Linked DNA regions of Neurospora crassa OR74A. The protein of the gene in region 4 purifies or fractionates together with the protein of the main gene of each other region. This does not show direct contact. Links are inferred from orthologs where the notes say so. Each region holds a gene or a part of one and is shown on either strand. Other genes may lie near its edges.

Evidence for each region.
Region 1: the proteins of NCU09437 (region 4) and NCU06272 purify together in Saccharomyces cerevisiae (affinity purification with mass spectrometry; 3 studies listed by BioGRID). This does not show direct contact. The link is inferred for Neurospora crassa OR74A from reciprocal best matches to the Saccharomyces cerevisiae genes UTP22 and RRP5.
Region 2: the proteins of NCU09437 (region 4) and NCU01502 purify together in Saccharomyces cerevisiae (affinity purification with mass spectrometry; 6 studies listed by BioGRID). This does not show direct contact. The link is inferred for Neurospora crassa OR74A from reciprocal best matches to the Saccharomyces cerevisiae genes UTP22 and UTP7.
Region 3: the proteins of NCU09437 (region 4) and ckb-2 purify together in Saccharomyces cerevisiae (affinity purification with mass spectrometry; 4 studies listed by BioGRID). This does not show direct contact. The link is inferred for Neurospora crassa OR74A from reciprocal best matches to the Saccharomyces cerevisiae genes UTP22 and CKB2.
Region 5: the proteins of NCU09437 (region 4) and NCU08968 purify together in Saccharomyces cerevisiae (affinity purification with mass spectrometry, with the first as the bait; 3 studies listed by BioGRID). This does not show direct contact. The link is inferred for Neurospora crassa OR74A from reciprocal best matches to the Saccharomyces cerevisiae genes UTP22 and DIM1.
Region 6: the proteins of NCU09437 (region 4) and NCU02428 purify together in Saccharomyces cerevisiae (affinity purification with mass spectrometry, with the first as the bait; 4 studies listed by BioGRID). This does not show direct contact. The link is inferred for Neurospora crassa OR74A from reciprocal best matches to the Saccharomyces cerevisiae genes UTP22 and EMG1.
Region 7: the proteins of NCU09437 (region 4) and NCU03794 purify together in Saccharomyces cerevisiae (affinity purification with mass spectrometry; 7 studies listed by BioGRID, with this or other methods). This does not show direct contact. The link is inferred for Neurospora crassa OR74A from reciprocal best matches to the Saccharomyces cerevisiae genes UTP22 and PWP2.

Annotation. Positions count from the first base shown.
Region 1 is NC_026503.1:2,145,542-2,149,606, reverse strand, and holds the start of NCU06272 (mito ribosomal protein S16), read right to left. Parts: upstream 2,801-4,065; 5' UTR 2,639-2,800; coding exon 2,180-2,638; intron 2,122-2,179; coding exon 1-2,121. Other genes in the region: NCU06271 (hypothetical protein), read left to right, coding at 3,767-4,054.
Region 2 is NC_026502.1:3,252,765-3,256,700, reverse strand, and holds NCU01502 (small nucleolar ribonucleoprotein complex subunit), read right to left. Parts: upstream 2,571-3,936; 5' UTR 2,421-2,570; coding exon 2,112-2,420; intron 2,047-2,111; coding exon 691-2,046; 3' UTR 501-690; downstream 1-500. Other genes in the region: NCU01501 (mitochondrial peptidyl-tRNA hydrolase Pth2), read left to right, coding at 1-313; NCU01503 (pre-rRNA processing protein Tsr1), read left to right, coding at 2,931-3,039, 3,207-3,936. UniProt on the Saccharomyces cerevisiae protein: Involved in nucleolar processing of pre-18S ribosomal RNA.
Region 3 is NC_026501.1:3,448,477-3,452,577, reverse strand, and holds ckb-2 (casein kinase II subunit beta-2), read right to left. Parts: upstream 2,639-4,101; 5' UTR 2,265-2,638; coding exon 2,208-2,264; intron 2,125-2,207; coding exon 1,879-2,124; intron 1,797-1,878; coding exon 1,242-1,796; 3' UTR 501-1,241; downstream 1-500. Other genes in the region: NCU02755 (PAP2 domain-containing protein), read left to right, coding at 1-170; NCU11228 (DUF1339 domain-containing protein), read right to left, coding at 3,316-4,080. UniProt on the Saccharomyces cerevisiae protein: Regulatory subunit of casein kinase II/CK2.
Region 4 is NC_026507.1:182,558-186,574, forward strand, and holds the start of NCU09437 (hypothetical protein), read right to left. Parts: upstream 2,801-4,017; 5' UTR 2,716-2,800; coding exon 1-2,715. UniProt on the Saccharomyces cerevisiae protein: Involved in nucleolar processing of pre-18S ribosomal RNA and ribosome assembly.
Region 5 is NC_026505.1:5,864,828-5,868,292, reverse strand, and holds NCU08968 (dimethyladenosine transferase), read right to left. Parts: upstream 2,272-3,465; 5' UTR 2,024-2,271; coding exon 1,235-2,023; intron 1,177-1,234; coding exon 801-1,176; intron 739-800; coding exon 707-738; 3' UTR 501-706; downstream 1-500. Other genes in the region: NCU08969 (hypothetical protein), read left to right, coding at 1-147; NCU08967 (arrestin domain-containing protein), read left to right, coding at 2,837-3,465. UniProt on the Saccharomyces cerevisiae protein: Specifically dimethylates two adjacent adenosines in the loop of a conserved hairpin near the 3'-end of 18S rRNA in the 40S particle.
Region 6 is NC_026507.1:2,521,126-2,525,173, forward strand, and holds NCU02428 (nucleolar essential protein 1), read right to left. Parts: upstream 2,745-4,048; 5' UTR 2,663-2,744; coding exon 2,611-2,662; exon of another isoform or gene 2,022-2,610; coding exon of another isoform or gene 1,994-2,021; coding exon 1,725-1,993; intron 1,654-1,724; coding exon 1,177-1,653; 3' UTR 501-1,176; downstream 1-500. UniProt on the Saccharomyces cerevisiae protein: S-adenosyl-L-methionine-dependent pseudouridine N(1)-methyltransferase that methylates pseudouridine at position 1189 (Psi1189) in 18S rRNA.
Region 7 is NC_026505.1:2,437,194-2,441,162, forward strand, and holds the start of NCU03794 (periodic tryptophan protein 2), read right to left. Parts: upstream 2,801-3,969; 5' UTR 2,627-2,800; coding exon 2,496-2,626; intron 2,429-2,495; coding exon 1-2,428. Other genes in the region: NCU03795 (cell division control protein 12), read left to right, coding at 3,865-3,969. UniProt on the Saccharomyces cerevisiae protein: Required for bud-site selection and cell separation. Also involved in nucleolar processing of pre-18S ribosomal RNA.

The DNA.
Region 1 (4,065 bases), on a different chromosome or scaffold from region 4:
CAAGGCGGTCAACTTGCCACCGAACTGGACGAAGACAGCCGTAGCAGTGATGTTGCGAATATAACCAGAAACCTCATCTCCGACGCGAGCACCATCAAGGGTAGTAAGGAACTTGCCTTCCTTGCTAGCCTTGACAAGGCTGGGCTTCTGGGAGAGAATGATGGAACGGCGAGCCTCGTTCTTTTCCAAGATCACCAACTCGGCAAGAGTCTGGTTGACGTGAATTTTCTTGAGGGCAGACTGAGTCTTGCTGACCGACTTGTCCGTCAAGTGAGCGACGGGGAGGATGGCCTTGAGAGAGCTATCGGCAAGCTCAACAAAAACATCGTCGTCAGTTTTCTGCGTGACCTTAGCCGACACCACATCACCGATCTGAAGCTTCTTGAGGGCCAACTGCTTCTCAAGACCAAAGGCAGATGGGTCCTTGCAAGAAACAATAAGCTTGGCGGCATCGGGGTCGAAGCTGATGACGTAGATGCTGACAGTCTGGCCAACGCGGAAGTGCTCCTTGGGATCCTGAATGTAGGCCTCGCTCATCTCAGAAACTGGCAAGAAACCACGGAGCCTGCCGTAGAACTGCACAATCGCACCGTGCTGCAAGACGTTGATGATGGTACCGAGCGCCTGTTGGCCAACAGCAATTTGCTCATACGATTGGATGGCAGGAAGATCGGAATTGACGAGCGTCTTCTTGAGAGTAAGGCGGATCTGGCGAGAGGCAGCGTCAGTCGAGAGCACACGCGCCTTCACCTTCAGGCCTTCCCTGAACTTCTTCTCGGGGTTCTGAAGGTGAACGTCAGCGAAGTGCATCTCGGGGACCAAGCCAGAGATACCGTCAGCAATCTTGACAATAAGGCCACCAACACCGGCGGCGTTGACCACCATCTTTTCAACCACACCAGAAACAACTGCACCGACAGGAATGTCCTCGATGCGAAGGAATGGCTGCTCAAGAACACTCTTCTCCAAGGAAATGAGATACATGCCATCAAAGGCGTTGTAGCCGACAACCCTACCAGCGTGAACAGATCCCACCTTATAGGGTCCGCTGTTCTCGAAGAGGGCATCAACCTTGCCATCCTTGACGCGGGAGATGTGCACAAACCCAGACACGCCCTCGACACCAACATCGACGTAAAGACCGATCTCAGGCTCGACCTGCTTAACGGTGCACTTCTCCACGATCGTCGAGTGAGGGAGAGCCTGCAATGGCACCACTGGTTGGTCGTCCTTGGAAGCAGTCTTTGGCTTCAACGAGGTAACGTGTTTTAGTACAGAGATACCCAGCTTGGGGTGCTTTGCAGTAGGGAAGTTGCAGATGACTCTGGCCTTCAGACGAGAGCCGACCTTGTATGTGTCTTCAAGATCGATGCCATCCGGACCAGCGCCAGAGTGAACCAGATCAGCGGTGACATCCAGCGATCCCATAATCTTGCCAACAATTCCGTGGCTGGAAACCTCGGACACGAGCACGTCGGCGGCAGTACCGGGGAGGAATGTGTCGATGGTGGTAGCAGTCGAAGGGACGTTCTCGACGTTGCCCATGGTTTCACCCAATGTGGACAACTGAACGACCTTGCCCTTGGCGTTCTTGGTGACGATACAGAGGAGGACGGCACCTGGCTGCAGAGCCTCCTGGGGGATGCTCTTGTCGACCTGCTTGCGAGCAAGGAAACCTTGCAACTTCGAATCGGCGATCTCGATGTCCATAACATAACCGTGGTCCTCCACACTGGCAATGGCGGCCATAACTGTGCTGTTCACAACAACGTCTTGCTCCGCCATACCGGTGTTGGCGAGAGAAGGTTGAAGGGAGAGTTCGATATGGCGCTTGGCCTTTCCAGGGGTGTGTGTAGAAGCCTCGTCGACCGTCGATACAACGTAGGCGCGGACATACTGGCCGATCTGGAAGAGGGATTCGAGGTCAACGTCGTTGTCGTTCTCGTCTTCTGACTCTTCGGCATTGTCGTTACCGGCGCTGGCCTCCAAGCGTTTTGTTAGGGGGGCGGAAATCGCAGTGATGGGGACATGGCCGATAATATTGTTGGGTAGAGCAACGGCGATGTCGAGAGAGTTGATGGCGCAGACGGAACCAAGGACCAAGGAGCCCTTTACCAGACGCTGCGGACAGTTAGTACTTGGATGATAGGACTGAACCCATGAGTGTTCCGGCGCATACCTTGAAGTTGAGACTTTCAACCTTGACGGCGTCCGCATCGGGCTTCGCGGGTGTGTCGTCGGACTTTGACCTCTTCTTGGACTTCTTCTGCTTGCCCTCCTTCTCACCAGCCTTCTTGGCGGTGGCCTTGCTGGATTGCTCCTCGAACAGGGCGTCGTTCTTGGCCTGGACTTGGATTTGCTTGTATTCGAGAGGTGTCAGGATGCTGGCGCCGCCTCTGGGGAACATTGGCTCCTCTTCCTTGAGCAGCGTAGATGTAGCCGGGGCGGTAGGAGCAGGAGGAGCAGGCTTGTCGGACTTGGGAGCCGGCTTGTTGCCCTGCTTGCCCGTCTTTGCGCCCGCCTTGCTGCCGGCATCGTTGGACTTTGGTCTCTTTGACGGTCTCGATTCGGAGGCTGATTGTGTTGATTTGTTGACTGGGGCGCCGCCCGGGCCTTCCTTGCGCTTTTGCGCACCCATTGTGAACTGATGGGTATAAAGAAAGGACCTGATGGATGGACGGATGTGTTTGGAGTTGCAATTGGAGAGATACCCGCACTGGATCCCTCGTCCCTTTGCCCGCCTTCACACTTCAGAATGAATCGACAAGCACTGACAAAAACTGACCCAGGCCGCTTCCACTGTCCGCTGCCGAAAATTTTTGGTGGGTCCGTCGCCGTTCACCGTGGCCAGATAACGATAAGGAATGCGGTGAGCATCGGCTACGATTCTGCCATCTCTAGGTACGCGGGCCGCGTGCATGTCGGTTCGTTGCGGGTTCTGAGTCTTGCGGGGTTCCCCTGTAGGGGTACTAGCAGCGCCTGTCTTGTGTCCACGAGTGCCACGGCGTCAGCTGACAGGACGCTGTCACGTTCATGGCCAGGTACGTACCGAACCTTTTGCACGGGCGGAGACGGGCAGCCAACGGGCCAGCCGCATGCGTTGCAGGGAAGTACACGGTAAGTAGAGGTAGGGTACTGAAGGCCGTTAGGTACCTACACCCTAGAGATAGAGGGGATTGCTGAGAACGTGCTATCAATGAGTTACCTATTGGCCATTGCGAGGTACATATAATTCTCCAAGGCGGGATGTACAATTGTCTAGAGGTACCTACCTACACTTAACATGTCGTCTGATGTTAGGATCGTACGGTATTGGAATATCATTCTAGTCTGATGGAAGAATGAATTTGATACTACACTAGACCATCAAGTAGGTACTTGTAATAACATCAGCATTCGTTCACATGGTCCCCCTCTCCAGGTAATAAAGTGTAGGTACTTCGTTACCTATCCGGTTCCCCTGGACTGTGCGCTACCTGGCAAATGACGTACATGCATCCGAGCTGGAGCCTTTGATAATGGATGAAAGCGCTCCCTCCCCGCCGGCGGTACCCGTGTAGTGTAAGTAGAAGTACACATCGGATTTGTAGCCTGAGCGGTGCCTCGTCGGCTTGTCGACTTGTCCCTACGGTATAGGCGCCACGCAATACTCGTCGCATGCCCATTTTCGATCCTTTCAACTTGACGAAATAAACGGCAATGTGGCCAAAGTTTGCCCTATAATCTTAGGGGACTGGAATCTGTTAGGTTGTTGGCCTTGCTCGCCATGGTCTTCACCATGGGTCGTCGAAAAAAGGCGAAACCAAACCCTCCAACCGAGCCGGCGGATGGTAGTGCTGTCACCGAGTCCTCAACGTCCACATCCGATATGCCGCCGAAATCGTCCTCGAGCCTAGCAGCCTCTATATGGCGTTCAAAAGCCGTTCCAATGCCGACCGCTTCGAACCCACCTTCGTCGACGACGACCTCGACACCTGATAATGCTCTATCAACATCCCAGCCCAATGCGACCGCAAATACAACTCCTATTTCGAGCAAGCGAGGGCTGAAAGAGGTAGCCTATTT
Region 2 (3,936 bases), on a different chromosome or scaffold from region 4:
TCAATGCTCCCACGCCACCCTCGCCTGCTACAAGCGCCTTTTCTCTGCCGCCCAGCTCGAGCCCCTGTCGCTGTCGGCCCGCCTGCTCCGTCAGTGGGAGCGCAACGGCCAGGCCAAGATCGCCGTGCAAACCAAGACCGAGGATGAGATGCTGGAGCTGATGGCCAAGGCGCGCAGCTTGGGCGTCACTGCTGAGGTGATTCAGGATGCTGGCCGTACGCAGATTGCCTCTGGGTCCAGGACCGTGCTGGGCGTTGGTCCGGCGCCTAAGAGCTTGGTTGATGAGATCACTGGTCACTTGAAGTTGCTGTAAAGGGGGAAGACTTTGTAGCGGGGAGAGGATGGAGAAAGTGTGTTATGTTGACGGTAGCATGAACGTAGATACAAAGAGAAGGACGAGAAGCACGAAAAATGGCGTAACGGGGACGGTATAAAAGTATCATTGGGCTTAGAGAGCGATACAGTCAGGTAAAGACTTTGATGCATGTAAGGCGTAGGTCTTGATTTTTACTTTTGAATAGATTATCAAGCAACAAGATGAGTCTCCACATACACGTAAGCATATCAAGTAAACAAATATAGTATCAGCACAGCATCCGGTCGACTGACCGTCTTTGGTTTCATTAAGTGACTGATTCTGGGTATCATCATGTACTCTGTTCTTCCACCCCTCCCACCAATTTTCATGCTCTACTCTTTCCTCGCAAACCTGGCCAGCGTAGGCCCCAGCTCGGCCACCTTCTCCTTGTGCCTCTCCCCGTTCTTCTCCTGCATCTGCTTGTACATCTCCTCGGCCTTGAGCCGCTTCTCGTCGATAATGTTCTTCTTCTTCTGCTTCCGCAGGTACTTCTTGAGCGCGCTGTTCTTGCCTCTGGCCCGGTTGCGCATCTCCTCCTCCAGATCCGGCGGCCCGGCGTCCAGATCCTTGTCCGCCTCCCGCTGCTTCGCCGACCGCAAATCGAGGGTGCCGATAAAGTTGGGGTCGAGCGCAATCATCTCGGGCGCGAGCTTGTTGAGCAGCTGCTTGACTTCGCCCTCCTGTCTCTGCTTCTTGGTCTCGTACGGGTTGACTTCCAAGGCGTCGAAGTTGGCCTCGCCGGCGCCGGGGATGATGAGGGACGAGAACCCTTCGCTGTGGCCGACACCGAGAACATCGTCAAAGGGGCACCACCGCACCCGCTCGACGCGCTTGCCCTCACCGCCCCACGTCATGTAGGGAGACTGGACCTTTTCTTGTACCGGCTTCTCCTTCGAGAAGAGACCCTTCCAGACCGTTGTCCTGGTGCCCCAGCCGACAGCGGTAAGGCCGGTATCTGAGATGGCGACGGACGAAGCGGGCGCCCGGGTAAAGTAGTTGTTGACCTCCTTGAACATGCGGATATCCCAAACGGCCATCTTGCAGTCCTGTCCTGTTGTCACCATGTAGCGGCCTTCGCGGTCGACAGCCATGGATCGTACGGGACCACGGTGGGCAAGGAGCTTGACCAGAGGTTCTGACGAGTTGGGCGACCATAGCGTTACTGTGCCGTTCTGGTGACCAACATGGAGGATAGCGTTCCAGGGGTTTTGTGTCATGGAAACGGGTGTGCCCAGCTTCGTTGCGATTTCGGTGACGATCTGACCGGTCGATGTGTCCTGGTACTTGAGCTGGCCGTTTGTGCCCAGGGTGGCCAGCAGGAAGTGGTAGGGGAGGAATTCGAGGTGGGAGACTTCGACGTGTTTCCTTAGGCAGTGGAGCTCGACGCCCTGCGAGTCGTAGATGTAGGTGTACTTCTTCTGAGCGACGGCAAAGTATTGGTTGTTGTGTAGCCACTTGACGTCCCTGATGGTCTCTCCCAACTGCAACTCACAGCCCAGCTTGCCGTCTCTCCAGTCCATCGTAGCGACATGGCCCTTTCGTCCTGCCAGAATCAGATCCCGGCCATTCCTCGAAAAATCGCAAATGTAAGGGCCTAGTTGGTCGAGCTTCAAGTCGAACTTTTTCTGGGCGACCTCAATGTTGACTTCGCTGACGATGTCCTCCTGGCGAACCTTGTATGTGCGTTCCTATCGTGACCAGCGCGGTTAGTATCGCGCAAGAGGCTATAAACTCCCAAGCCATGGCTACTCACAAGCTCATGTTCAGCCTCGAGGAAACCGCCGGCATTCTCGAGAAGGATTTCGGCCTCCTTGGCCTTTAGCGTGGCCGTCTGGTACTTTTCTTCGAGGTTGGTAAGGTTGCGCTTGAGCTTTTTGTCCTTGACGTTCTTGACATCGATCTTGCGACCACGGCCGTACGACTTCTCTGCTGCCTTGACTTTGCGGATCTTGTTGGCCTCGGCCTTTGATCGGAACTCGCTTCGGACGTTGTTGATGGCAACGGCGCCGCTGGGCTGCTCTGCCCTCGAGAGGGAGATTTCGGCCCTGTCTGTAGTCTCCATGGTGCCAATGGGTCGACGCGACACAATGGGAATGGGTAATATGTGTGGTGGACTAGGACAGTTGGATCGGCGACGGGATATGGATGGGGGCTGAATATGGAATTGGTCTGGCGGTTTCTCGGTGTGCCCGTGTCTGTCCCTCGCTTTGGCACTTTGAATGTTTCCTTTCCTCGACAACTTTTTTGGGGCCGGACCCACTAAAAAGTTGGATGGGGCAGCTGTTCCGCAGCGATCATTGGCTCCACTGCGTACAAGAGTCCGATAAGATAAGTAGCGAGACGGCCGCCCATGTTCGCACAACTCAAAAAAATGCAACGAGTGCCCCGCCATTGACATTGTCCCCATCACTTTATTCGATACTCGATAGACGGATTGTGACCAGAGAGGTTCTCGAAATCTCTTTTCAGTCCCAACCCCCCAGCCTCTTCTCTTCATCGCCTCCCCAGGTCCAACATCCTGGCGTCAAACTCGCTCCCTTTTCGGTTCAAAGCAGGCGGCGATTCCAGCAATATGCCCGGCGCCGTGAGCGGCCACTCGCATCGGCCGACGACCAAGGCGTCGAACAAGCCCTTCAAGTCACGCCATTCTACCAAGGGTGCTCTCCGGAATGCTGCCAAAGGTACGGATTGCATATAACAGCCGTGCCTCATGCCAAGGTTGTTGCCTTGGACTATGCTCTACTTCACCCAACTTTGGCGCACCAAGCCCAAGCAGACATGAATATACAGCTGCATATAAAGAGGTCGACAACGTCCACACAGCGCTAATACTTTCAACATTCTATAGGCAAGGTAGCCGAGGAGAGAGGTGTGCGCAAGACCCCCCATCAACAAGTCATGTCCAAGTTCGACCGTCGCAACCGTAACAAGCAGCTTCAGCTGCAAAAACACAAGGAACATCTCCAGGAGACCTCCATTTTCGCCGGCAAGGATGGTGCCCCCAGAAACGTGGCCGTTATCCCCCTGTGCAGCGACGGTGACGCTACCGAAGCCATCAAGAGCCTGAACGCCAGCATTGATATCGAGACCGAGGTGCCCGAGGGCGCATTCCGCGTTCCCGTCGACAGATTCAAGCAGAAGCTTCAATACTTCCCCCTCAAGCGCGACCTTACCGCCTGCCTGGACGCTGCCAGAGTCGCCGACTATGTCGTTCTCGTTTTGTCCGCGCAGGAAGAGGTCGATGAACTTGGCGAGCTGATCTTGCGCAGCGTTGAAAGCCAGGGTCTCTCTACCCTCTTCACCGTCGTCCAGGGCCTCAACAAGATCGAGCCCCAAAAGCAGAGACTCTCCGTTCTTTCGTCTCTCAAGTCCTACATCACCCACTTCCACCCCGAACAGGATAAGGTCTTCAGCCTCGACAACAGACAGGAATGCTCCAACCTCATGCGCTCGCTATGCAGCACTACACCCAAGGGCATTCGCTGGAGAGACGAGAGGAGTTGGATGCTTGTGGAGGAGGTCAAGTTTGGTGAGTCTACCGTGCTTACCGGTGTCGTCAGGGGCAAGGGCTTGAAGGC
Region 3 (4,101 bases), on a different chromosome or scaffold from region 4:
CGGGAGACGAGGAGGAGGCGCTGAGTCCGGATTCTTTAGATCACGGCAGCAGCTATGGGCACCCCGTGGTACGGGCCAATGGCACCGGTTTGGAAAGCAATGTGGGACCGGACCAGCCCGGTGGGATCATCACGGGGAGGAAACCACCGTCGCTTGACGTTGATCAATGAGAACAGGTTGACACAGCTTACAGAGACGGGTAAATGACGATCAGATATGAAAGGCAAATTTCGACGCATTGTCGGATCAGAAGAGTCAAGGTGCATTTTCCGGAAGTAGGGACTTGGCCCGGATGGGTGGGCTTGATGACAAAAGCGATTATTTCTCTAAACGAGGAAATATGAGGAACAACAAATGGTTTTATGTCACCAACATGGGTTTTGGTACAGTCTCTCTTATGTTCAGGAGGCGTTTTGAGATAGGGAAATGAGGAACCTATCCATATGTACACATATCTACCTGGTAACTCTTCAAGGGAAGTTTGAGCACACTGGTCTTCGGCATTAATCAACGTGTTTATGCTGTGGTAACAGTTCATGTATTTGAAAGGTTCGTGTTGCCGCATGACACCGCTTGTGAATCTTTCCTCAGTAGACGCTTGGATATATGGTCTGGTCGTTTTGAATTTTCACGCTCCAAGAGACTGCCTTTCAAGCGTTAAGTTCAACTTCCCGTCGATTTGACGATTGGTTTTTAGGAGGCTTGAAACAGAGAAGGGTGCAGTTCAGCACAGACGAAGAGAAGCAAAGCCGGCAAGGTGAGAAGAAATCGTCTGGTAAGAACCGAAAAGACGTATAGCTAGACCAAAGAACATAAACACTCTATCAATGGCTCTCTCTCCCTTATTCGCATCGATCCCGACGTCCGCTGTGTAGAGGCTTATGGGGTGCGGGAATAGAAACAAAAAAACAAAGAGAAGAGAGGCACCTGTACTCATACTTTGTTACTCGATACTGTATGGTATATGCATTCCACCACCTCAAAAGTCAAAAGATCCCGTACCTCGCCTGTTCCATCCACTCATCGAACTCCACTTCAGCCTGCTCTTCATAGTCCTCCCCTAGCCTGAGACTCCGTCGCAGCCTTGCAGCAGCAGACATGAGAGGTGTCAACCAATGGTTCGGCTCGTTTGGCTCGTTTGGTAGCTCAGCTTCATCGTCAGCTTCGTCGGCGGCTCCAATCGTGGCTTCTGAATTCCAATACTCTTCATCCGCTTCTCCACCAGTAGCAGCAGGCCCTTTCTAATGAACGCCTTCACCGCCGGCAGCAACGCCTCCCGTTGCTGTACCTGCCGCCGCCGCCGCATGTTGCTGTTGGGCACCTTCAGCCTCATCCATAGCAGCCAGCTCCTCCTCTTCCTCCTCTTCCTCCTCCTCCTCCTCGTCATCATCGTCAAGCTCAGCCTCGTCCTCGGCGTCCTTGAACCCGCTCTCGACCTCGAGCTTCCTCAGCCGCCTACGCATCTCGTCCCGCTGGCTGTTCTGCCAGCGCACCAGAGCGGCAGCGGCGTGCACCTTGAAGCCGTAGCAGCGCGGAATGTAGCGCTCGACGCTCTTGGCGGGCACCAGGGTCGGGTATACCTGAAAGAAGATGTTGTGGAACGAGGTGCCGAAGTAGGCGCCGTCAATGGCGGCGTGGCGCGACGACTTGGGGTTGTAAATATCCTCGCAACGCGCGCAGTACAGCTTCACCGGCTTGGAGTTGGGCACGTCCGAGAGACCCATGGGCAGCAGAGGGTGCGAGGAACACATGACGCGCGGGCACTTGCCAAAGTCGGCTTTTTTGTACTTTTCGAACTGTTGGTGGGAAGTGCGTTAGTCACGGATGAAGACGAGGAGACGCTGGATGAAGATGGAATGCTGAGAGTTGATTACTGACCATTTTTTGAAGACCCCGCGTTGTGACAATGTATCGAGCATGGACAAGACCGTACAGGTGCCTAGCAGACTTCTCTATTGTTTCCCGCATGTCGTCATCGCAGTCGAGGTCGAAGACATCGGTGATGAGATCGAGAGCATATTGGTAGTACTGGACCTCAGTGTTGAGACCAGTTAGATTGAACCTATCAGTGATGTAGTCCTCGTCAATTTCGCAAAAGTACTCATTGCCTCGCGAGGAAATAAACTGCAGGCGGACGCGCAAATGTCAGCATGATTGGGGAACCTTTACTGTAGTAAACAATAACAACAATTGCAAGAGAAGCATACCCAGTCGCGCCAATAGCTGGCATAGTCGCTCTCAGACTCGCTCACAAAGTCATCCATGGCCGGCGACACCACGTCTATACTCGGCGCATAAAAGGAAGGGAGGAAGGTGGTGGTGGGAGGAAAGTGGGCGCGAACGACCGTCGGCTGGCGCTTCGCATCAACGAGGCCAAAATCCCGGGTGCCGGGGTCAAGTACGGCGTTTGAACCTTTTGTTGGGCCGAACTAATGCGCGCCGGGCCGTAGATGGGGAGTGGGAGGTCCGAGTCGGATGAGATTGAGCTGGCACAAGGCACAATGACGACAAGACGTTGGAGAGGATTGTGATGCTTTTTTGCGACGGTTTGATGGGAGTTCAGGTGGAAGAGGGTTCAAAGCCGTCCCTGGTGCAGGGCAACGGCAGGGCAGGCGAGGGGGTCTGGACTCTAGACCGGGAGCCAAACAGGCTGACAGTCCATGACAAGGGACTTTTTTTTTTGGTGGGGGGTTCATCGCCGTTGCAGTGGTCCCCGCAGGGCAGGTTGCAGTGCCCCCCCGCCCCTGGCTCATCGCAGTCTGTTTATCAGCAGTCCCGACCTACCCAGGGCACTACACAGAGGTAGGTTATCAGGTCTGCAAAATCGACCATCTGACTACCTAAGTACCTACCTAGGTAGGTAGGTAGGTAGCGGGCGGGTACCTTTCGTCGGCCTTCAGTCAGCCCAACGGCCCAGCGTATGACTTTAATTGTACGTTCACAGGTACTGGGGATGGAAGCATGTACTCTGTCATTAAGGTAGGTATTCTATTGGGCGTCATGACGTTCAGTGCTACAGTTTGTGCCTTATTTTTGAGCAGGTATATTGTTGGAGACGGAAAACCCAAAAAAAATATATATAAATAAATAAAAATGGGGGATAAGAACGCCAGTCGCCTGTGATTATAGCTGTTCTAGATTATCTTGAAACATCCCGGCTTCTATAACATCTGTGTTGCCCTACAGCATGTGTCTAGAGCTCAAGACCCCCGCTTCATCATAAAGTGACGTTCTGGTAGGATCGTGAGCGCCACGGCTATGGATATCCAACAATCCTACAACCAACTATCCGCTTTCCAATTTCCATCCACTTCATTAACCTTCGTACCGATTAGCACTGACAACGCTGCCGGCGTCGCTGATTGTGCGCCTGTCAGCATCCCAGTCACTACCTATGATCCCCTTGGTATTGGAAATCAATGAGCTGGTAGTGCTGGAAGCACCGTTAGCACCACCACCCTGAGGAACTCCAAGCATTGTGCCCAGCCCGCTGCCTACGCTGCCATGGCCATCCTCCAGCTCACTTTCCTGCTTCACTCGCATCTTGGCCAGCTCCATTGCTTCACGCAGCGTGTCCCCCGTTTCATCGAGCGCTGCTAAAAACCGCGCCAGCTCTTTGCATAGCTCCCAGTCGCCCTCGCGCATTGCTCTGCTTAAGAGACGCACACTCTGCTCGCTTGCTGTTGCGAGTTCGTCAAAGGTATGGAGGATGAGTAAGTAGCCGCCAGCAGTCTTGAGGCTCCCACGCTGCAAGCTCTCCTCAAACAGCTCCTGAGGTGGAGGGAGATAGGCGAACAGAGTACGCCAGGAACGCACTTCCGTCTTGCGGGTACACTGCACCACAATGTCCAAGTACTGCTTGAACGATGAGAGAAGTGACAGCACGCGTGGGAGGATGGCATGTTCTGGAGCAGGCGGAGGATGGGCATCCACCTCTTCGTCCAGGACATGGTGCAGAAGTATTTCCAGTCCATGCGCAAAGTACTCAAGGTGCTCATATTGCTGAGCTAACCGCAACGCCTCAATCGGTCTGTTATTACTAAGGTAGAACCGCAGTATATCGGGTAGAAAGAGGTGCGTCTGGGATTGTTAGCAGGAAAT
Region 4 (4,017 bases):
GTTCATGAGCGGATCGATCTTGCGCCAGGCTTCGAGACGGGTGGCGATGGCGGAGCGTTCGGACGATGGCATGTCGCTGTTGGTGTCGACGATGAGCGGCTCGGAGCGCCAGTCCCATCTGCTGACGAAGAGGAGGGCGCGGAGAAGGCCGACGGAAGGGGAGGAGGGTGCGTCCCAGGGGTAGGGGCTCAAGAAAGTCTGGAGGGCGACGAGTTCAATGAAGTCGGGGGTGAAGTGGGAGGCGAGTTTGTGTGAGGAGAACCAGTGTTTGAGCAGGCGGACGGTGGGCGAGAAGGCGGGGAAGCGGGTGGCGAAGGTGTTGATGGATTGAGTGTGCAGAGGGAGGTGGTAGTAGAGTCTGCGGAAGTTGGAGAGGAGCACGGAGGCTTGGTGGCGGTGGTGTTGGTCGATGGTCTTGTCGTGCGATTGGCGCGTGAGGAGGGCCTCTTCGAGGTCAGAGTGGATGCGCAGGCGGAAGGCAGGACCGGACTCGTAGACGATGTCGAGGTAGGCGAGGTTCTCGAGTTCCGTGTTGGTGGTGGTAGAGGACTCGAGACCGACGTAAGAGCGGACCTCGCCGGGCTTGGAACGCTCCAGGAGGTCGCCGATCATGCGCAGGAAGGCGATCTTGGTGCGTTGGATGGCCACGATGGATTCGGGCCACTTGCCGGAGGCTTCAAAGGAGATGACGCATTCCAGGGGGCGTGGGCCGGATTTGTTGACGGTCGAGAAGGGCACCTTGACGGAGGCGTGTCGCAGTTCGGGGCAGATGGGGGCTATTTGCCTGACGTGCAGCGGCATGTCGTCCAAGTCGCGGATATCCTTCTCGAAGGAGGAAAAGGCCTTGCGAGCGGCGTTGAAGACGGAGGTGTCGGTCGGCTTGATAGGAATCAACTCGGTGAAGCCATCGCCGTGGAAGGTGAGCTCGTCCTCGAGGTAGCCAACGCGAAGATGGAGCTTGAGGATGTAGCGCATAATTTCCTCGCAGAGGTCAAAGGGGGAGGTGGACGACCAGATCAAGGTCTCCCTGATAGAATCACCCTCGAACCGACGAAGTTCCGATTTCTCACCCCAGAACCGCTGGAACTTGGCGCATTCCTCCTTCTCCTCGTTGCTAGGTCCAGCGGCCGGACCGCGGTCGACAGAGCGGGTCATGTTGGCGGCATTGAAGAGGACACCAATCTCGATTGTGTGGTTCTGCTTGGTGGAGGGTTTCTTGGTGAGATCCCAGGATGAGCTCTTGGGTAGTTGAATGTGAATCGACCGAGCCCTTTCACCTAGTTCTTCGTCCTGAAGAGCCCGCTTGAGAACCCTGTGCACCTTGTCGCTGTATTCCCATAGCCGTCCCCGGCAGTCAATCGGTTCTGTCTTGTCCTGCTTTCCATCGTAGTTGAGGTGGGCAATGAGGTCGTAGTTTTGCCAGGGGAGGTCGGCCTTGAGGATGAAGGTAGGGGTAAACTGGTCGGCAGTGCTGTCGTTGAGAAGGCTCCTTGTCCACTTGGCGTGTTGGTGTAGCTTGGCCGCAGACCAGTTGCTCATCTTGAAGGCAACGTTCAAACCACGAACAGCGTCGAAGAGAACCGGACCAGTGGTTTCGGACTCGACGGTGGCAGTTCCCAAAACACACGGCTTCTCGGACAGGTTAGTAACAGACAAGAACTGGACCATGGCCTTGAACAACTGGGTGGCGCTCAGGGATGTAGACAAGGGCGCATGTCCCTTGGTGCTGTCGCCGCTTTGGAGCAGAAGGGCCAAAAGTACCGCCCATTCAAAGTGACCAAAACCACCGTCCGCCATATCGCTTCCCAGTCCTCGTTGTTGCAACCACACCCGACCCAGGATGCAAGCCTTCTTGAACGCGGCGCATTTCTTTTCGGTTTGTCGCAAGAGCTTCAAGTAGGGAAAGAAGCAGGACTCGGAAACAATCGTCGAGTTGTAGAAGGGCGTAGGCTTGGTCGCGGCCTTGGACTCGTCACCGCCAGCTTTGCGCACGAGGGTAGCGCCCAAGTGAAGCTTTGATTTGGGGAAGAAGTTGTCTGGGGCGCAAGGGATGATGCGCACTCTGTAGTCCAGCTGGCCCTCCTTTTTTTCTCCTTCCACCTTTGGTTTCAACGACAAAATGGGGGACAGGGTGTTCCCATTCAGGTATTCGTATGAAAGCTCTCCATCATCAGCCAGGTCCTTTTGTAGGGCAGCAGCCACAACACCGAGGAAGTAGGCTCTCTTGTAAAAGTATCGCAGGTCGAGGTAGTCCTTCTCTTGCAGAGTCTCGCCGGGGATCACAACCACCATATCCACAGCATGGCTCTTTTGGGCCTTGATCATGGTCTTGGACACATAGCTGCCGACAACGTTGAACTGGGAAGGCTTTGCGAAGGCGACCTTGTAGTTGGACTTGTCGGACGGGCGCGGCTCGGGGAACGGGATCGGGATCTTGTGTTTCTTTTCGAGTTTGGTGGCAGCCTCGGCGATCTGGAGGGCATCGTGGGCTTCGATGGCTTCGATGGAGCCCTTGATCTTGTGGAGGAGGGAGTCGACGCCTTCGAGGGCCGTGGCATAGTCGAGCTTCACTTCGTCGACGAGTTCTTCGGCTTCGAGGATGAATGCGCGGCCACGCGAGAGACCCGAGGAGGCAGCGGCGTCGATGTTGCCAACTGCGCTTTCACCGCCGCGTGAATGGCCAATCTTGCGTCGTTTTGCTGATCCGGGTTCCATTGTATGTGTGGCGGTGGTATAGGTATATGATGGTGATGGTGGAGGAGGATGTCCTGGGAATGGAGACAGGAAATTGATAGTGACAAGACACTGAGAGAGAGAGCACTGAAAGCCAAACAACAGTGGACCGAGCGTCGTCCCTCCAATTGAAGTTCTGCAAATTCGAGTCTCGTTCAAGTTTGCGACGGGAATTCCCAAATTTTTTGAGACTCTGGAGCTCCGATAAGAGATAAGAGGTCAATCCACAAACAGGGGCAGTGGAAGACCCGACAGGGGCAGTCGGGTGGGGCAATGTTGGTTGGTTGCCCCTGTGGGGTTCAACTGACAGACAGTGAGCGCCCGGCCCTTATCTCAGAATCAGACCCTCTTTTTTAGGCATGGGCGGCCTGCGGCCGCTGGGAAAGTGCGCTGCGCGCACATCTGGCCCGTGCGCTGCGCGCCCGGGGTTCTCAAAAAAAATAATAAATTGAAAGTTACTAAAGTTTCTAAATTGTGATCCGTGTACCCATTCTTTTAGTATACTTTCCGGTATTGAATAAGAACGCCTAAAAAAGAGGTTTGAATTCCCAATTAGACTAGAAGCGGATAGGGGAATTTATATTGATAAACTTCTAAGAAAGATAATATAGCGTTAAAATAAAACAATAGATTTAGGTTATACAAAAGATATGAGGAGAAAGAGTTCGTTGAGACGGATTTAATGGTATTATTAATTTTTTTCTACGACTATTGAAAGTATTAATTATTATAGAAAATGTAAAAACTTTACGTAAGTCCGTATATTCAATGCCTAGTTAGCTATATATTACAGTACGGCTTTTTATCCCAATACTATAAAACTTTGTAGGTATAGATATTATACGACTATTAATATAGTAGTATAGTTTTCTTTACTCTATAGTACGTTATTTTTTTTCCTTAATTTTTTCTATCCTCTATAGGTATTAATACTATAGATCCTAATTTCGATCCCTCCGTTGACCCCTAGCGTATATTGCGGGTAATAAAAGATATTATTAGTAATAGTAAAGACCCTCGAAAAGGCTAGGTTAAGGCGGTAGTACGGTTGGCGTACGAATAGAAGGATATAATATTAGTCGCAGTAATGGGCTACGGAAAAAGTATTGTCCTATATATATTTTTAGCTTTATATAATAAAATTACAATATAGATTATACTGTTAATTAAGTTTGGAGAAAGTTAATATAATAATATTATTACTAAAGTGCTAGATTTAAAGCTAGTATAGGTAAATAAAGATGTGACTTTAAAAGTAAGTATTCTGCCCTTTTTTACGAATCT
Region 5 (3,465 bases), on a different chromosome or scaffold from region 4:
GATGGCATGGGTGCTGAGACCTTCGTGGTTTTTGGGCTATGGGTGTTGGGTGCGGAGGATGGAGGTCGAAGAATGGAGGAGTGGAGGAGAGAAGGACAAGAACGGCGACACATTTTAGTATCCAGTGTCGTGCTTTCCAAAATATAAGTTGCGGTCACCATTTGTTCTTCTTCTTTTTCTTTGCCCCTCTTCAATGGTTTTGAACAACTGACAAGCTATCGAAAGAAGGCTTCCACGCTTTCTGGCTTGGTAACGACGCACTCGGCGCCTGTTACTGAGAGAGGTAGGGTAGGAAAACAGCTTGCTCTCCTGTGCTTTCCGTTTCCCTGTTACTCCAAGGACTCGGTCCCGTAGGTCACTGACCACTCCCCCGATCCATGGTTTTATTATAAAAGACATCTCGATGCGGTAGGTCTGGTATTGTCAGCAATTGCTTCTCAGCAATGTTTGAGCAACGTGACGAAGAGAACAACATCCGACGCTCAAGCAATCCAAACGAAAGATGATTATGGTTCGATTCCTGGCAAAAGTGGCAGCCAGATTCATTGGCTTTTATGATTGTGCAAATCCTAGCATCCAGATCAATGGTATTTCCACGACAAATGGAACAAAACAAAGAATTTTTAAAAAACGACATTTTCCCAATCCCCAAAAAACGCCCCGTACGCCGATGATTTCTGTGCGTGTTCGCAATAATAACACACGTCTAAGAGAAGTGAATACCCTCCTCGTGGAACGCTGTCAGGAGTGTTAGCGAGGTTGTCCATCAGAAAGGGAAGCCGAGGGGGAAGAAAACGTACCAAGCAACAGCTTGAGGAAATCGTTCTGATCGCACTGCCTAGCTCTCTTGTCCGCCAAACCGGTGCTCGTAAGCACCTTGTTCAACTTGGCCTTGACTATCAAGGCCACCTTGGACTTGGGGTTCTTGCTAGGTGTCTTGGCGTCCTTAGCGTTGGCGTCGTTTTGCTCCTTGAAGAAGACGGGCATGTCCTCGTCCTCATCCTCCTCCATAGCCTCGTCATCGTCGTTGTTCTCTTCGTTATCATTGTCTTCGTTGTCGTCGTCCATCTCGACGTCCATGGCATCGTTGGTGGCGCCGGCGGCAGCAAGGTCAGCCGCGGAAGCGAGGGACTCGTCGATGGGGATGTTGTTGAGGGTGCAGTAGACTTTGTAGTTCTGGAAACGAAGTGGTCAGTAAGAGTTGGAGCTTGTGAACACATGGGAAGAAACGTACCCTCTCGCACATGTTGAGGACCTCCTTCTGGTTGAAGCCGGCATAAAGGGTCTTGTTCTTGCGGTTGAAAGCAATGCGAAGGAGACCGTCGAACTCCTCAAAAGCAATGTTGGGGCGCGCCGAACCAACAAGGGGCTCAATTCTGACGACGTCGGACTCGACCTTGGGAGGAGGCTTGAAGTTCTGCTTGCCGACCTTCATGATGTGCTTGCATGTGGCCCAGAAGTTGACATTGACACTCAATCTCGAGTAGAGAGCATCACCCGGCCGAGCCACCAGTCTCTTTGCGAATTCTCTTTGAAACATGAGTACGGCGACGCGGGGCGGGTTGGGCATGGCCAACATCTTGAAGATGAGCGGACTGGAAATTTGGTAGGGAGTGTTGGAGATGAGAGCGTCGCATGGAGGCATTTCGGGCATCTTGATGACATCGCCGAGAATGACCTCGAGCTTCTTGGCTAGCGGAGTGCCCTGGACACGCTTGGTAACTTCGGCACCCATACGAGGATCGAGCTCGATGGCGATGACCTTCTTTGCCTTTTCAAGGGCGCGGACCGTGATGTTGCCGGTACCGGGACCGACTTCGACGACGACATCGGTGGGCTTGAGGAAGGCCTTGTCGACAATGGCATCCGAGATACCGGGGTTCTTGAGGATATGCTGGCCAAAGTCCTTGTCGAACTTGAAGATGTTGGTGTTGGTAGCCTTGCCGCCGCCGCCGCCCCCCTTGCGATCGTAGGGGTTGCCGCCGCCCCCCGACTTCTTGGACGCCTTCGCTGCCTTGGGCATGGTGTAGTCTAGTCAATGCTGTCGTGGGTAGGTGTGTGGAGGAAGACGACTCGGAATCGAGGTCGGACGAGAAGGTTGGGGGATCGATGGAGGGTTTCGTCGTTTCGGTCGATCTCTGTCCGGGTCGAGACTTGGGCGGTTCGTTCTCAAGTCACGGCAGTCGCGCAATGGCTGTAGTATGTACCTCTATTGTGAGACGGACAGAGGTACCGCAGGCTGAAGAGAGCTTCCTTGTGCCTGCGCCGGACCCCGGCCGACATCTTTTTTTTGAGTGGATCAGGCGGCAGAAAAAAAGATGCCCCGCCAGACATGTGGCTGATAAGATAAGCAAAAGGCTGACCGCTTTCCCCATTGAGACACCATGCGGGCGGCGGCGGCGGCCCAGCCCACTGGAAACATCAGTGGAATCCAGGCACCTCGGCCACTTCCGACCGATGATTCCCCGTCTGACGTAACAGCGGAGGCCGCCCTAAACATGTGCGGCGGGTTCAAATTGCTACCCAGCACTTAAACGGCAAATCCTCCGGTCTTTCAGTGAGGGTCTTCCCCGTCATCACCTAACTGCCGTGTGAAGCTGATCACATCGAAGCAGACAGGCAGTGGCTTTGAATTTTCATCTACCTACCTATAATACCAACCCCCTCCCAAGGTTCGAGGAAATCGGATTGTAAAAAAAAAATAACAGATTCTTTTCCATCATCTTCTCCTTGGCTCATACCTGGGCGTGTGACCCACTGGTTATTCCTTGTTGTTTTGGTTCATGTGGTGATAGCCTCATTTCTCTGTTGAAGTTGACGATAATCAATCGCAACCATGTCGATACGGATCGCCCTCGAAAACCCTCCCGAGTTCTACACAAACCTGGATATTATCCGCGGCCAGGTCGTCCTCACTCTCAGTCGTCCCGAACAGATCGGAGGCATCATCGTCAAACTCGAGGGTGAAGCCAAGTCGGCCTTGGGAGTACCCGCCGATGGCTCAGGGACCGGCATTGCTCAGAGGGAGCGCACTCCAACCGGCGATGTTATCTACGAGAACCACAAGATCCTATACAAAGTCACCCAGGCCTTTCCCGACGAGAAGACCAACGCCTTGCCACAGCCCTATGTCCTAGCCGCTGGTCAACACAGATTCCCCTTCCAGTTCAAGTTTCCCTTCAACAATGCTTGTGGTGATCCTGTCGCCATGGCCAAACTAGGAGGCCTTTCTGGTGCCGGTGGAATCGCGTCGGGTTCTGGCTTGTTCGGTCTCGGTGGCATTCGTGTTATGGACGGCACCAAGCAGCTGATGTACTCCCATGTCACAAAGACGCTCCCACCCAGTTTCACCGGATTCCCAGGCCAGTGCGAGATTCGATACTATGTCAAGGTTACCATTCAGAGACCGGGCTTTTTCAAGGAGAACTGGAGGATGCAGACCGGCTTGAAATTCCTTCCTATTGA
Region 6 (4,048 bases), about 2.3 Mb from region 4:
TTTCATTTATAAAAAAAAAATTTCAAAGAAAATATTAGCAACACTACATTTTACACATCTTTCCTGTTACCACTGGGTTGTGTGTTCCTGGAGCACAAGCATTGTAGATCATTCAAACCCAAAAGATCCAATTCACAAATTTGCAAGGCACAGCAAAGGCGGGGAGTGCTCCAGTGCGCGTTCATACGAACAGTCTCGGGAGTAAATGCCAGGCTGACGGCAACTGGGATAACCATTTCATATCCACAGGTGATATGGTCCTGCAGCCCATGATCCAATCGGTCTGAAGACCCAGTGGCCAAACGCCAATGCCCAGGGTGTTACTTTCCGCGGTTTATTGGCCGAATGAAGAATGCCATGTGAGATACATCAAGGCCTGTACGCTTCTTGTACATTGCGAGTACACGGCACTATTCGTCAGGCTTTCAAATGGCCATGGAAAGAGATACAGGCACGTGAAAATGAAATCAAACGAGCTTACGCAGCAAGGGAGACACATTGTTTTGCAAATGCTTTATTTGGGAGAATAAAGGCATTGGGAAGGAGAGGAGGGTAGTGAGGCGTCGCAGTCCGAAAAACGAGCAACCCACGAAAACACTGACCTGTGGTAGATGGCTACTAGGTAGTAGTGCTGATATCGTGTAAGCAAAAAAGAAGGATGACAAAACATGGTTCCAGTGCGTCACTTCCCATTCTCTACCACTGATACTAACTGGGCAAGTCGCTACTTGCCCTTCTTTCCGTCATGGCAATGTCTGAGTTGGAATGGCGCATGGCAAGCGTTCGCTCGACAAAAAATTGCGTTTCACTTGACCCGAGAACTTTGTATCCGCAAGAAGATAGTATTGACTAGCTAAGGCTGGACGTATGAAAGAGCTAGGAAGAGGCGAAGAAGAGTATATGACGAAAGGAGAGGAGGGAAGGCAGGCCAGGTTGAATGGTCTTGCGTAGACGATGAAAGCGTCTTGAGTCCGTTGTTGAACGCCCCATGTTTTGGTTGCAAAAACAGCGACAGCGCAATCACAGGCGACCCAAGTTCCGGAGGCTCTAGCCCGCAAAATCGCGATGTTGTATCACGAAGCTGGCCAAAGCCCCCGCAGCCTCTCTCACGCGTGAGAAAGGCAAACAGACCTTTCACCCATCCCTCCATGTTCCTCACCACGGTTTGATTGTCGATTAAATGATGTCCCACGCATCCTCAGCGGCGTGACAGAACTTGCTGCACGCTACGCTGGCTGACAAGCTATAATTGCTGATGGAAATCTTCTCATCGACATACTCATCCGCAAAGTTATCGGCGCCCTTGGCCATGGCGCCTACAAAGACGCAAATGCTCTCATTCTCGCCCAAAGCGTCGATGTACTCGCGAACGCGCACAACGGGGGCGTCGAAGCTGAGCGTAATCTTGCGGCAGTTGGGAGGCAGGTGGTCCGTAATAGGGTTCTGAATCACCTTCAAGAGCTTTTCCTGTGAGTTGGTTCCCTTGATGGACAGACGATGGAGAAGCTGGACCATGAGACCAGCGAAGCGCTTGAAAGTGCGGGGTATACGGACAGCAGGCGAGACCTCGATCAGGACCCCTTTGGCGGTCTGGATATAGATCTGCAGCCTGCCGGCCTTGTTGACGGGCGAGTCAAGGAGCGTGAGGAGGCACTAGAGTACACAAATGGCGAGTGTCAGTAGCAGTATCCGCATGTTGAATGCAGACTGGGAGTGTTTCCAACCTGGTGAGTAATGTCGGGGCGAGCGTCACTGATATCTCTGTTCATCTTGCGCATGACACCAATGTGCTCATCGCTATTGAGGAGCGAGTATTTTTCCTCTCGCTGCATGCCCATGCGGCCAGAGCCGCCGTGGGACGCCTTGTAGGTCTCGAGACTGGCGTTGGAGAGTACCACGATGAGCCTCTTAGTATCCTTGTCGGTAGGTGGGATGGGCATGTGCTGCTCAGCAACGAGTTGGGGCAGTGCCGGAGGAGGGAGCGACTGGGTGCCTGCCATGGTCACGTCGTGGTTAGACATGTTGAAAACCTGAAGCTCACTCAATAATCGAATAACCAAATGTCCGGGGGCAACGACAGGTAGGAGAAATGGCAGGCGGCGGCGCTGGTAGAAACGGTAGGTTTGATGATAGTTGCTGATATGGTCGTCGTGATGGTGCTAGGGACGGGACGATGGATGATGTGTAGCCAAGAGAACGCAAGAATGGAGACAAGACGGCCTTTCGAGTTTTCGAGCGAAAAAAACGAAATGGCATTGGCCACCATTGGCGATCAGTCAAAAGAGAGTGGGGTACCGAAGTTCCAGGCTTCCCGGGCCCCTCTTTCCGTGTACAGTAGTAGTACGTCTTTGCGGCGTCTTTCCCGTCAGGGTGTTCCCGTCGATTTTTTTGTTTGATTTTTTTTGGTCCTCTGCGCTGCGCATGCGCTATGATGCTTGGCAACAACGGAACCGGGACACACGCAGCAATACAGCTTGGGAACGCTCAAGCCCGCCCCTCAAACCTCCGAAAAACTTCATACCTCGAGCGCCGCAACACCTCGCATTCAGGGCCCAAACCAAAATGATTATCTGACATAGAAGAGATTAAAAGGTCGAGGAGGGTACTTACGAGGCCGCTTGCCAGCACGGGGGTGTTCTGGGGAAGATGATCCGGACGACATGGTGGCAGGGGAGCACGGAGCAAAGACAACGATGGAAAACCAAATGGACCCTTGATGGCAGCAAGATTGAAGCGGAAAAGTTGGAGGAAGAACGAGACGAGAGCCCAGAGCGCGGGTGCGCGGGCGCACGTGCCCTTTTATATGTTCACGAAGCTCGATAACACGACCTGGATAAACCGACTGTGTGGGGCCATACGAACTGAGAGCAGTCAGCCCCTACCCCAAGCTTGGCATTGATATCGCGCGCCGGCAACCATCAGTCCTCACAAGAAAGCATCGTTTGAAATAGTCTCAGTCAGACCCACAACCTCCAAAACCACCCCACCCCACCCGTTTCTGCGGTAGCAGGTCTGAGCCAATTTTGAGCATTTCGGCCGTCAGCCGCTGTAGGACCCAACTATATATTATTATATATTATAAATTCAAGGAAGCTAGTAAAGATAAATAAAAATTACTCTTATATAGAACATTTTATTCTGATTCCAATGGTAGCCTTAGTTCCCTCATACGACTAAAAATCGTCGAAATACAAGGCTTTGAACTTTTGGACTTTTACCCCCTCAAGGCTACATTACTTTAATGGGTGGTCCGAGCTTTATAAAAATGGTACCGTCAGAACCGCCTTCCCAAGGCTTACCCTCTAGGCTAGCCGTTAGCTTCTAGTTCTTCCTTCTACATCATTTTTCATAACGCTTTCAAATATCATCATACTATTATTTACAGAGCGCTCCAATTACCCGTATCAAATAGTAGCTACAATTAAAAATTAATTAACCAAACTAAACCCCTTTCAATTAGAACCTTTAACTAAGTAAACTAATTAATCTTCAAACGGTTCATTAAACCTCTAATCGCAAAGACCCTATATCGCTCAACACCAACCCTGCAATCGCAAACAATAATAACAATCCTTTACTATTATATCTCTAAATCCTTCCCAATCCTTCCCTTATACCTTCTCCCCGCGCTTCCTAATTATACTATACCAATTTACTTGTATTGGTTCGTATTAATTAAAATATTATATTATACTACCCTAATCCGAATACCTACAGACCTCAATATAAAGGGTAACCCCGTCTACCAATTACTCAATTCTTAAACGTATTTCTACTCCTACTTCTTATCTATACTCCTACTAAGTACTTTCTTTATTCTCAATACTATTATTCATTAATAATTGTAATTAAATATACTATAATCTAAAAGCTAATTTCAATACTATAGCTAACTATAATTTAACTAACCCCGGCCTAGCTAATAATCCGCCTAATAATTTATTAATATATAATAATTTATTTTAATAAGAAAATTACTTTACTAATAACTTTAATAACCTAATTAATTATAATAGTACTATCGTCGGATAAACGAACTATCCTTCAA
Region 7 (3,969 bases), on a different chromosome or scaffold from region 4:
AGTCTCCTTAGCAGCGCTCGCCTGACCGAGGAGGTAGTCAACCATGTAGACGTTTTCATCGGCCAACTTCCTGATCTCATCCCTCATCTTGGAAACAGCCCTTGCGACAACACGAAGCTCAACATCGACCTTGCCGCGGTTGGCAGACAACCACGCGCCGTGCTTGTCGACCAGAGCCTTGATCCAAAGAAGACAGAACTCAACGTGAGGGCTCTGCTCGGTCTGCGCGGCAACGTACCGCAGCAGCCTGGCAACGTACACGTTGGGAAACTGCTCGACCACCAGAGGGATGTCGGTGTAAGGGATGGCCTGGAAGACACGCTGGATCAGACCGGCCTCGTTCAAGCGGAAAGCCATGACGAGAGCCTTGAGGTAGTCCTTCTCCTTCTCGAGCACGGCCAGGGTAGAGGTGGGGGTGATCTCCATGTTGAGGTCAAAGGGATCGAACTGGATGGTGGTGTCCAGGCTGTAGATCAAAAGACCTTCTGTGGAGGCGGCGCAGAAAGCACTTCCGTTCGGGGAGAAGGCAACGCCGTTTACTCTCACTTCGGGATTCTTCCTCCGTGCGGAGGGGTCGCCGCGCTTGGAGCCTGGGAGTGACCTGTCTATCCTGTCCTCGAAATCGGAGGCCTCGCCTTGCTCGTCCAGGAGACCCTGGGGTCCAGCCTCGGTGAGAAGCTTGCTGTTGAGGAACTCTTGAGTGCCTTGAATTGAAAGATTGACGCTCACGGTGTACTTCTTCAGGAGAACCATGGTGGTGACGGAGTACAAGCAAATATACTTGCTGTTTCCGCCGGCCAAAAGGCACGATCCGTCTGTGCTGTATCTGATGGTGTTGAAAGCCTTGGTACCGGCAACATTGGCCGCAGTCCTGCGATCACCGATCTTCCGACCGCCGGAGACATCCCTGCGTCCATCAAGACCAGCTTGCTGCTCAGCTTCCGAGACCGACCAGAACGACAGGTTGCCGTCGAGAGTGGAGATGGCAATCTGGAGAGAATCTGGCCTAAAGGCAATGTCGAGAACATCCGAGTTGAGCTGGAGAGGCTCGCTTGTTTGTGTGCGGTTGAAGATGGACCAGATACGGGCAGTGCGGTCCCAACTACCACTCACAAGAAGACCGCCGTTAGGCGCAAAGGCCAAGGATGACACAGGGCCCTCGTGTCCCGAAAGACGATCTAGGAGCTGGCCAGTCTGGACAGACCAAATATGAATGTCGAAAGAGTCAACGGAGCCAGCCGCCACGATTTCGCCACTAGGATCAACTGCCATGCAAGAGAAAGATAGCCTTTCTGGTGCTGTAAAGGTCCTGAAGTTTCTGTATCTGATCAAGTCCCAAGCCCTGATGGAACCGTCCAAACTCGAGGTAAACAGGACATTGCCCTTCTTGGAGAACTCGCAAGCAGTGATGCCGCTCGTGTGCTCTGTGAAGGTAACAATGCAGAATCCCGATTCCGTATCCCACACCTTAATCTTTCCATCATCGGCGACTGTGACAATCCGCTGACCGTCCGGAGAGTAAACGAGGGAGTTCATCGAGTCGAAATGGCCCTGCTGCTTGAGAATGTAAGACTCGGACTGCCACTCCCACACCAAAAGCTGACCAAGCTTGGATGCGCCAAACGCCAGCCACTCGCCGCTCTTGTTGATCGTCACAAAGTCAATTTCGTTCTGGGAGATGCTGAGAGTGTGGATCATGTTGAAGTCGGGCATTTCGTAGAGGCCAAAGATACCGTTCGAGAAACCGGCAACCAGCAAGTTCGATTCGGGATGGAAAGCGGCGCATCGTACGGTGGCGCTGTTCTGCATGAAATAGTGCTTGTTGACTATCCTCCAGGCCAGGTCATCGTCGTCCACCATATCCTCGTCCTGTCCAGGCTTCGCAACGTATTGCCAGTCGAATACGGCGCCGTCCTTGCTGACTGTGTAAATCGTCTCTTGATCCTTGGAAAACCACGCGCCCACGACACCCTGCCTGTGACCGGACAGAACTGTAGGTGTGAACCCCTCCTCTTGATCAACACTCCATATCCTTGCTGTGAGATCCTTGGAAGATGTGAGGAAGAATCGCGAGTCGTGGGACCACTCGATGTGACGGACATCGTCGAAGTGTTGGACGTGGGTATGGTGCTTGACGAAGGGCGCAAACTCGAGCTCGCCGTCGGCGTTGGCGTCGGGTGTTGAGGGAACGTGCCAAACCTCGATTTTCCTGCCGAGTCCAACAATGAAGTGGCGCCCCGATGGCGAAAAGGAGAGAGCCGTTACTGGAGCCTTGAAGGAGAAGTGATATAGTACTACGCGCCGGGGCACGTTGGTGAGAATAGCTTGGCCATCTTCGTCTATGGAGAGTAGGAGGTTGCCCTGGGGCGTGAGACCGATACGCGCAATGTTCTTTCGGTGGGAGAAGGGAAGGGTATATGATTTGTTACTGCGACCGTGTTAGCCAGCTTACAAGCCATGCGCCAGGCAGGTGTGTAGGGAATCTTGAGACGTACTCGACAAGGTTAAAGACTGTCACCCTGTTGCCAACGGGCGAGAAGAGATGGGTACCGTCCGGGCTGAACAAGAGGTTGCCCTGGCAGTAGACTGTGCCCAGTAGATTAGAAAACTTGAAGTCGGTCTTCATTTTCAAACACTATTCCATGCCTCGACTGTCAACGTTGGAGATGGAGCAGAACTGGGATAGTATCTGGGGATTCGATTATGTACAGGAACTGGAGGACTCTTTCGAGTCTGTATAGGTAAGTGGAACAGAAGTTCAGTTACAGGCTGCTGCTGTTGCGCCTAGACCGCCCGTACGTTCAATGGCGATTCTGCCAGCCAAAAATTTCATAAACTTTTTGGCGGGGAATGGAGTCGGGTTAGCTCCTCGCTTTGGCACCAGCTGGCAAAAGACTTGGCGTATCTGGCAGCCTCACCGACCGCAGCGAGACCAACCACTGCACGGCACCACCAAGCACGGTCACCAAGCACAGTGCAAGGCTGGCAGAGCTGGCAATCAAAGGGTCAAAGGGTCGACCAAGTTTCCATGGCAATGAATGGCTGATCACCGCCAATGGCGCTAGCAGGGAAGGCACGCATCGATTAAATGCTCGGCGAGGGTACCTGGCAAGCGCGTTTCAGTGGAGAGCTGCCAGCGTAGGTCCGTCTCTGGGGACCTGGAATTGGGGAAGTGTGGGAAGCAAGTGGAAAAGGGGAGGGTCCACTCATTTCCCTGCCGCGCAGCCAGTCAAGAGCGGCCTTGTGTGGTGGCAGCTCTACACTACTGCAGAATGCCGGGCTCGAAAGGTGCCATTGGATTATATGGATCGTGTACCGTGCGCCTTCTCGGCATCATCACAGACGGCTGCCGTGGCCCCGCCCAGGCACCTCATCTGGAGGATGGAATCGAATGCTGCTTGCTCGCTGCTTGCTCCGTCCGTCTGCTGCCGCGGCCCTGCAGTGCCTGGAGTGCTTGGGGTTCAGTCAGTGTGGGCTAGGTTTGGCCTGGCGCTCCCGTCCCCGTCGCTGGTGCTCTCTCCTGCGTGGGTGTGTGGTGCTGGGTTGGGCCAGATGAATGTGGTGTGGAAATTTGAACAAGTAAATTCCCCTGAACGAAAGCACAGAGCTCCACGACGGGTCCCCCGTCCACTCACCACTGCAGTTCCATCCCCCGTCTGCCTCTCGCTCCCACCCGTCCACTGTCAACACCAACCTAATTTCGATTCCCATTCACGACCACCACCATACCCGTACACCACGCATCCCGCCTGACGCTCTTTTTCTCCAATTGCCGGTGCTTCTTCTCGCCGTTACAGCAACGGGATCGTGACTTAATCCTCTACCCATAATTATCTCCCAGTTTCGTGTTTCGCCCAGCTGAAGATGGCCCCTGCCACTACCGAGAGCGCCTCACCGATTGGCATTGCCAATCTGCCCAACCAGCGACACAAGATTGTTGCTAAGAGAGGCGCTGCTTTTACTATTATG